Linked DNA regions of Oryctolagus cuniculus. Each later gene encodes a partner of the first gene's protein in a complex. Links are inferred from orthologs where the notes say so. Each region holds a gene or a part of one and is shown on either strand. Other genes may lie near its edges.

What was found. The genes of interacting proteins can lie anywhere in the genome.
Region 2: HEATR3 (region 1) and RPF2 share a complex: the UniProt entries of both Homo sapiens proteins name them as parts of the hexameric 5S RNP precursor complex. The link is inferred for Oryctolagus cuniculus from reciprocal best matches to the Homo sapiens genes HEATR3 and RPF2.

The regions. Positions count from the first base shown.
Region 1 is NC_091449.1:33,667,394-33,670,904, reverse strand, and holds part of HEATR3 (HEAT repeat-containing protein 3), read right to left. Parts: intron 2,760-3,511; coding exon 2,647-2,759; intron 863-2,646; coding exon 753-862; intron 1-752. UniProt on the Homo sapiens protein: Plays a role in ribosome biogenesis and in nuclear import of the 60S ribosomal protein L5/large ribosomal subunit protein uL18 (RPL5). Required for proper erythrocyte maturation.
Region 2 is NC_091436.1:60,639,733-60,643,859, reverse strand, and holds the start of RPF2 (ribosome production factor 2 homolog), read left to right. Parts: upstream 1-1,327; 5' UTR 1,328-1,440; coding exon 1,441-1,463; intron 1,464-2,093; coding exon 2,094-2,226; intron 2,227-4,127. UniProt on the Homo sapiens protein: Involved in ribosomal large subunit assembly. May regulate the localization of the 5S RNP/5S ribonucleoprotein particle to the nucleolus.

The DNA.
Region 1 (3,511 bases):
CTCCACTGGAGCCAAGAGAAGCATTAGTAGGAGGAAGGCGTCCCTGCCTTGCCGGGGAGACGCACAGTTAAGTGAAAGGACAGCCGGATGGCTGCCGTCACGAGGGCTAGAAATGTTTTTCATCGGATTCCTCTGCTCTCGCCCAGAATTCTGCCAAGCTGCCCGCCCTCTAGACCGTTGCCTCCTGCCTGGCGAGCGAAGGGTCTCAGAGGCTTCCTGCCCTCGTCCAGAAACGACCAGGGAGCCAGGGCAGCTCAGCTGCAGGTCCCTGCTTCCCATGCCTCCCATGGGGAGGACACAGGCCTAAGTGAAATTTCAATCACTTCTCTTCTTCCAAAAAACTGAAGGTATCAGTTTTCTGATGGAAGTGTAAGAAAACAGTACAAGTCGTTTAAGTACAATTAGCTTCCAATTAACTGGCTCAAAGGCCTGGTAGCTGTGTGTTAATATTTAAATGAAAATGAAAACATCAAAAATTAACACAAGATTCTAAGAATGGTAATAGATTGGAAACCACATATCCTCACATTGCTACCTTTCTGCCATTCAGAGCAAAAAGCAGGAAAATTCTGAGTGAGGAAAAGTACCAGTCAGACCGAAAAGGATTCAGAACAAACAGAACTCCTTGGCTAAATTCATATATACAATGAGAAAAAAAAACCATTTCTGTAGAATTAACATACTAGATCTGAATAACAATTTTTGAATAAGACTACACATACTTAATAAATCATCACTTTTTCTTCACTTACCTACTGAGATAGCCAGGTCAACATTGGTGGGAAATCTACTTAAATACTTTAATACAATCTCCAAACACCCTTCTTTGTTGAATATAGATACTGCTCTACTACTGCATTCACTAAATTGAAGGGGGGAAAAAGAGTTTTACTAGTCACATTTTAACATTAGGAAATCAATCACAGGAATCCATGACAAAAACAAATTAGGCTTTACAGAACCAAAGAGCTGGAGTCAAACACCCACCATGCCTATAGATGAAGAAACGAACGCCCATTCACAGCCACTGCACATGTGATAACCGGCTTTCTTTAACTTATTCCTATCATGGGGGGCCTTTAAGGCAATCTATACCGTATGCGTTTCCCCGTAGAAGGGGGTAGAGTGGGAAGAACTCTTAGAAATCAGTTAATTCAACTCCCCATTTTACAGATGAGAACACCCAGGCCCCAAGGGTGAGGTGGCCCACGAGGAGATCAGACTATCTGTTAGAGGCAGAGGCAGGCCCAGTGCACCTGGGCTCCCTGGGTCCAGCCTCCTGCTCTCTTCACTGTGCCGAAACAGCACGGTAAAGTTAGGACAAACAGTCTCTAGACTTACCACACAAAGTGCAAGAGGAAATAAAACATGTTATTCATTCCTCCCTGACTGCAACTGTCATCTCATCAAGGAGGATTTACAGTTTGCAGAGAGATCACTACAATAATTCTTTTTGAAATCACACTTTCTTTTAATAAGACTAAGCAAGCTGTCAGTTATTAACTAGCACACACCGTAACTATGGTAACTGCATCATGTTTCTAGAGAAAGGTGTCTCTCCATCCATACTGCATACACACATGGGCACTAACAGCTAACAGATCTGACCCAATTATTCAGTTTGTTACCTGAAGAAAAACACTTTCTGCAATCTGTTAATGCGGCACTGAAACAGCCCAGACATACATATGTGAAGGTAGTTTGAATTATCAAGTATGAAACAAAAATGTAAGACTCATAGGCATTCAGGAAAGAGAAATCTTGGAAATATATTAGGTTAGGACTGTTTCCAAATAATTTTTTTTTAATTTCCAAAATTTGCCAATGGACCCAATTAAGGTATGTGGTGCACAGCACCCAGCAGTCTGCTCAGATCCCACTTCTCCACAGAGGGTCTCTCCGGCACAGCTGGTGGAAGGCGTCCACCAGCCCACGATGCAAGCACAGGCACGTGCAGACTGGCCGGGAGGCAGCTTTACAGGATCCAACACAATTCTGTATTCTAGGGACACCTGCGCTCTGCCATCAGCCACTATAACCACTGACTGAAAATGAGGACTCATGCTGGAATCGTGCTACGACTGTGGGACATAAAATGAGACGGAAAAAAGTAAAGCCAGGTCATGTTTCTAGCCACTCCCCCCTCACCACTGCTACAATCAGGAAAGGAGAGTGGCCTCCTTCCTACTAGGGTCAATGGACCTCACCTTGGGCACCCACTGCCCACCCCAATGATAACAGCCAGGGAAGGGGAATCAGTACCAGCCAAGACCTGTGGTCCTTGTCTCATTCCAGTGCCAAACCAACGCTGCTACTGCACCGGGGTTTAACAAGGTTTAAGACAACTGCTGCCTAGGTATGTGGACGGTGTGGGGGACAAAGCAGGAACAGGAGGTGTTAATGGTATGATCCATCATATTTTTATCAGTGGCAATAACTGGAAAGAACTGTCTTTAAAAAGGAACGAAACTATGAGGAAGGGGCCTCAAAGATGGTTCACCCCAGGTCACCTGATACTACCTCCTACCAACTACCACCCTCACTGAGACAGGCCTCCCCAGGAGAACAGAGACCGCTACACAGCTGAACAGAAAGCAGCAGCCTGGGCAGCGCTGTAGCAGGAGCTGTGCTTGGCAAGCATCTTACCATATATTCCACAGCACGTTCACCGCCTCATTGGCTATGTTCTCAACAGAATTTCTGTTCTGATCTTTTTTCTCCTGTGGCGACATTTCATTTGAATCCAGTCCAGCACTACACTGTAACCAAACATCATGATTAGCAAAGAATAATTAAACAAAAAGGCTAATGATACTGAAGAGTCAAAAAAACTAAACATCAGCAATTATAGTGGTTAACAAGCCCATCAAGTTTTCAGAAGCTGAACAATTCCCACAACCCTGCTTGCCTTCTGGCAAGAAATACAGAGAAGGTTTCCCCGAGTCACCGTGAAAATTCGAGATAAAGCAATTCACATTTTACATGAAAGTACAAAATCAATACAAAACATTTTGGACAAAACATTTGACCTAATGAGATAAAAGACAAAGAAGGCAAAGAAAGATAAAGTGTAAGAGCTAAAATTTACACAGTGCCTTGTCAGGCACAATTGTAAGTGTGTTACACATAGTAAGTCAGTAATCCCCACAGCAAACCTGAGATAAACTCTCATCCCTGAGGGAAGGCAGGCACAGGGGGCACCCTGGTTGCTGAAGGGTGCAGCGAGAATGCACACAGCTGGGCTTCAAGGGCAGGCATCCTGGCTCCGAGTCAGTGCTCCCAGCAGCGCTGCAGTACTGCCCTTCTAGGACAGTCCCCGGGACCCTCCGCAGCGCGGCTTCTCACTCTAGGGACTACCGACACTGGGGCCTGCACAATTCTTGGTTGTGGGGGTGTCCTGTGCATAGCAGGATAGTCAGCAGTGTCCCTGGCCTGAACCCACGGCATGCAAGCCACAGTTCTTACCTCCTGTAACAACCAAAAATGTCTCCAAACATTGGCTAACGTCTGG
Region 2 (4,127 bases), on another chromosome or scaffold:
TCATAAACTCTGACTTATTAATCTCATGGTTTAGTAAATAGCACCCATTTTACAGTCATACTTTTAATGACTACGAGTACCCACCATGCTATCATCCTTTCCAGCACCCATTTCTTTCTTTCTTTTAGAAGTTTATTTTTGTATAGAAATCCCTCTATTGGCTTCTTTTTTTTTTTTTTTTAAGATTTATTTATTTATTTTAAAGTCAGAGTTACACAGAGAGGAAAGGCAGACAGAGCAAGGTCTTCCATCCAATGATTCACTCCCCAATTGACCGCAACCGCTGCAACGACTGGAGCTGCACCAAACAGAAGCCAGGAGCCAAGAGCTTCTTCCGGGTCACCCACGTGGGTGCAGCTACCCAAGGACTTGGGCCATCTTCTACTGCTTTCCCAGGCCTTAGCGGAGCGCTGGATCAGAAGAGGAGCAGCCGGGTCTTGAACCGGAGCCCATACGGGATGCCGGCGCTTTAGGCCAGGGCGTTAACCCACTGCGCCGCGGCGCTGGTCTCTCTTTCCTTTTAATATTTATTTATTTGAAAGGAAGAGTTTGGAAGCCGGGAGTCAGGAGTTTCTTCCAGGGCTCTCAGTGGGGGTGCTGGGGCCCAGGCACTTGGGCCATTTTCCGCTGCTTTTCCTGGCGCATTAGCAGGGAGCCAGACAGGAAGTGGAGCAGCAGGGACTGGAACCAGAGTCCGTTTGGGATGCCGGCGCTGCAGGCGGCGGCTTTACCCGCTATGTCACAGCACCGACCCCATCAGCACCCATTTCTTTTTTTTATTATTATTATTTTTATTTTTTTTACTTTTTGACAGGCAGAGTGGACAGTGAGAGACAGAGAAAGGTCTTCCTTTGCCATTGGTTCACCCTCCAATGGCCGCCGCGGCCGGCGCACCGCGCTGATCCGATGGCAGGAGCCAGGTGCTTCTCCTGGTCTCCCATGGGGTGCAGGGCCCAAGCACTTGGGCCATCCTCCACTGCACTCCCGGGCCACAGCAGAGAGCTGGCCTGGAAGAGGGGCAACCGGGACAGAATCCGGCGCCCCAACCGGGACTAGAACCCGGTGTGCCGGCGCCGCTAGGCGGAGGATTAGCCTAATGAGCCGCGGCGCCAGCACCCATTTCTATTCCAGAAGAATAATCCCTGGCTTCTGAATACCCGACTTGAGGTAATACATACAGTCCTGGACGTCAGTGGCGAGAGGCTGCGTTACTAAAAGCGTTGCTTAGCACCCGTAATTTCCGGGGACGAGCCAAGGCGAAAACCCGTAACCAAGGCAACAGACCGTGAGCCTATCAAAAATGGGCGCCAGCTCCGCGGCGGGGGTCGTCCCAGGAAGTGGCGTCACGCGCAGTTTCCGGTTCCGCCTGGAGCGACGCTCGCGGCTGTCTCCGGTTACCGCGAGGTGCACGTGTGTTTTCTTGGCTTGGCCGCGGTAGCAATGGACCCTTTGGATCGGATAGTGTACGTGCGCTGAGTCCTCGTCCCGGGGAAGTCGAGGACAGGGGCTCTGGTGACGGGCGTGGTACCCTTCTGCTTCCTTCTCTTCCTGGCTGTCGCTCCTGCCCGACGCCGCTTCCCAGTCGTTCCTGGTGGCGGCAGATCACCCTCTCCCGTGCCACCTGTCGGAGACGTAGCAGGGAAGCCCACCAGGGGACCCGCGGGATGGGCGCTGGGACTCAGGCGTTGGCCGCTTTTGTGCTAGCATTTAAAAATCCGCTGGCTTCCCGAGCGGTTAAAAGCACAGACCTCGGAGCCTGACAGATCTGGGCGACGCTGCGGGTGTATCCAGAGTTTGAGCACTTGGGTGTTAACGTAAATCTTGTAAAGTTCAGTTTATTCTGTAAAAAGAGCTTTCATGACAGTCCATCGTAGAGCTGTGAGGGTGGGTTGTGGAACACATATTTAGCAGTATTAAATACGTGTATTTATTACTAGCTCCCTAAAAAGTGAGTTTTGTTTAGTGCTGGAAACCTAACCCGACAATATATTAGGATAATGTCTGTTGAGTTTTAAGAATTTGCACATTAGTCAAGCCATGCTTTTGCAGTGTGAAGAAAATGTTTAAACTGTTGTGCATTATTTTCTGAACAGAAAGCCCAAAACAAAACGGGCCAAGAGATTCCTTGAGAAGAGAGAACCGAAGCTGAATGAAAATATTAAAAATGCCATGCTGATTAAAGGGGGCAACGCAAATGCAACAGTAACACAAGTGCTTAGAGATGTGGTATGTATGTGTACTTATTGTTTACTTATATTCTTTTTTAATTTTTGTGTTTATTTGAGAGGCAGAGTGAGAGAGAGAGGTGGAGCTAGCGCCCTGTCTTACTTCTTAAATGCCTGTGTGATCAGGCTGAAGCCAGGGGCTGGAAACTCAGTCCTGGTGTCCCATGTAGGTGGCAGGAACCCTGTGCCTGAACCATCGCCGTGTCTTCCCGGGTCTGCAGTAGCTGAGAGCTGGGGTCAGGAGCTGGGGCTTGGTGTTGACCCAGGTACTCTGGTGTGGGAAACGGATATCTCAGCCGTATCTTCACTGTTAGACTGAACGTGCACCCTATGCTTACATTTAAGTGGTATTGAATTGTCTTAGAAACTTTCAGGAAATTAGATTGCTGCTGGAGGAGAATGTTGGTACATGTTTCCTTCCTGAACCTACTGGCCTTAGAGAAGAGCTGAAGTTGGAGATTATTTGCCCTCCCCAAGGCCCTGACTACTGGTTTGCCTTAAAGCAGCTGGTTCCCTTAGTAAACTTAAACTGGTTTTCAGTTCTGGAATTTGGTTTACCCACATTTTAGGAAGATATCTATTTTATATAAAGTGAAATAATCGCATGTTATTGTATAATTTATATGTTCTACAATACCAGTTACTGTACTAGGTGCTGGGAATTATAAATTAGGTAAGACACAGTCTGGGACCAATGCTCTGGTATAAAAGCCGCTGCCTGCAGTGCTGGCATCCCATATGGGCGCTGGTTCAAGTCCCAGCTGCTCCAGTTCTGATCCAGCTCTCTGCTATGGCCTGGGAAAGCAGTAGAATACCCCACCCCCCATGGGAGACCCAGAAGAAGCTCCTGACTTCAGATCAGTGCAACTCTGGCCATTGCAGCCAATTGAAGTGTGAACCAGTGGATGGTAGACCCCTCCCTCCCTCCCTCCCTCCTTCTCTCTCTCTCTCTCTCTCTCTCTCTCTCTCTCCTCCTTCTCTCTCTGTGTAACTCTGACTTTCAAATAAATGAATAAATTAAAAAAAAAAAAGACACAGTCCCTCTCTTTAGTGAGCTTAGTTAGACAGGGGCAGGATTGTGGTGTTGTGGAATTGTCATGGTTGGTGGGCAGTAACTGAGCCAAGGAACTGTAGAATCTGCTGCTTACCAAAAGGGGGAGGCAGAGAAAGAGAGAGAGAGAATGGAGAGACAGAGATCTTCCATCTGCTGGTTCATTCCCCAAATGGCTGCAACGGCCAGGACTGGGCCAGGCCAAAGCTAGGAGCCAGGAGCTCCATCTGTGTCTTCCTTATGGGTGACAGGGACTCAAGTACTTGGGCCATCTTCCACTGCTTCATCAGGCGTATTAGCAGGGAGCTGGATCAGAAGCGAAGCAGCCAGTATTCGGACTGATGCTCTAATATGGGATACCATAGTCATAGGCAGTGGCTTAACTTGCTGCGCCACAGTGCTGGCCCCAATAAGGCAGTTTTTAATGTGGAAAAAAAAAATTGGACATGTTGTAAATTAAGTGCTGTGCTGGAGGCATGCATATGGTAGAATCGGACAGTTAAAGGCGCACTGCAGGGGTCCCACACACAAGGCGGGCCTCCCAGCCATCACACTTAACCTTCATTTGGAAGGAGTTGGAGCAAGAAGTGGAAGTGGATGAGAGGGGCTTTTAAACTGAGGAAGGAGCTTGTGCCAGGGCAGGTGTGAGGGGCGTAAGCATGTGGAGGACAGCTCTCCGGACTGGCCGAAGGGAAGCTGGCCTGTTGAAGCTAAAGGAGGAGGCAGCAGTCCCACAGTAACAGAAAAACTGTGGAGTGACCGAAAGATTGGAGTTGAGCCATCTGAGCAGTTCTTTTAATTGCCTTGATTAGAGACGACTGAGAGCAAAGTAAGAAATGGAAGCTGTTGCA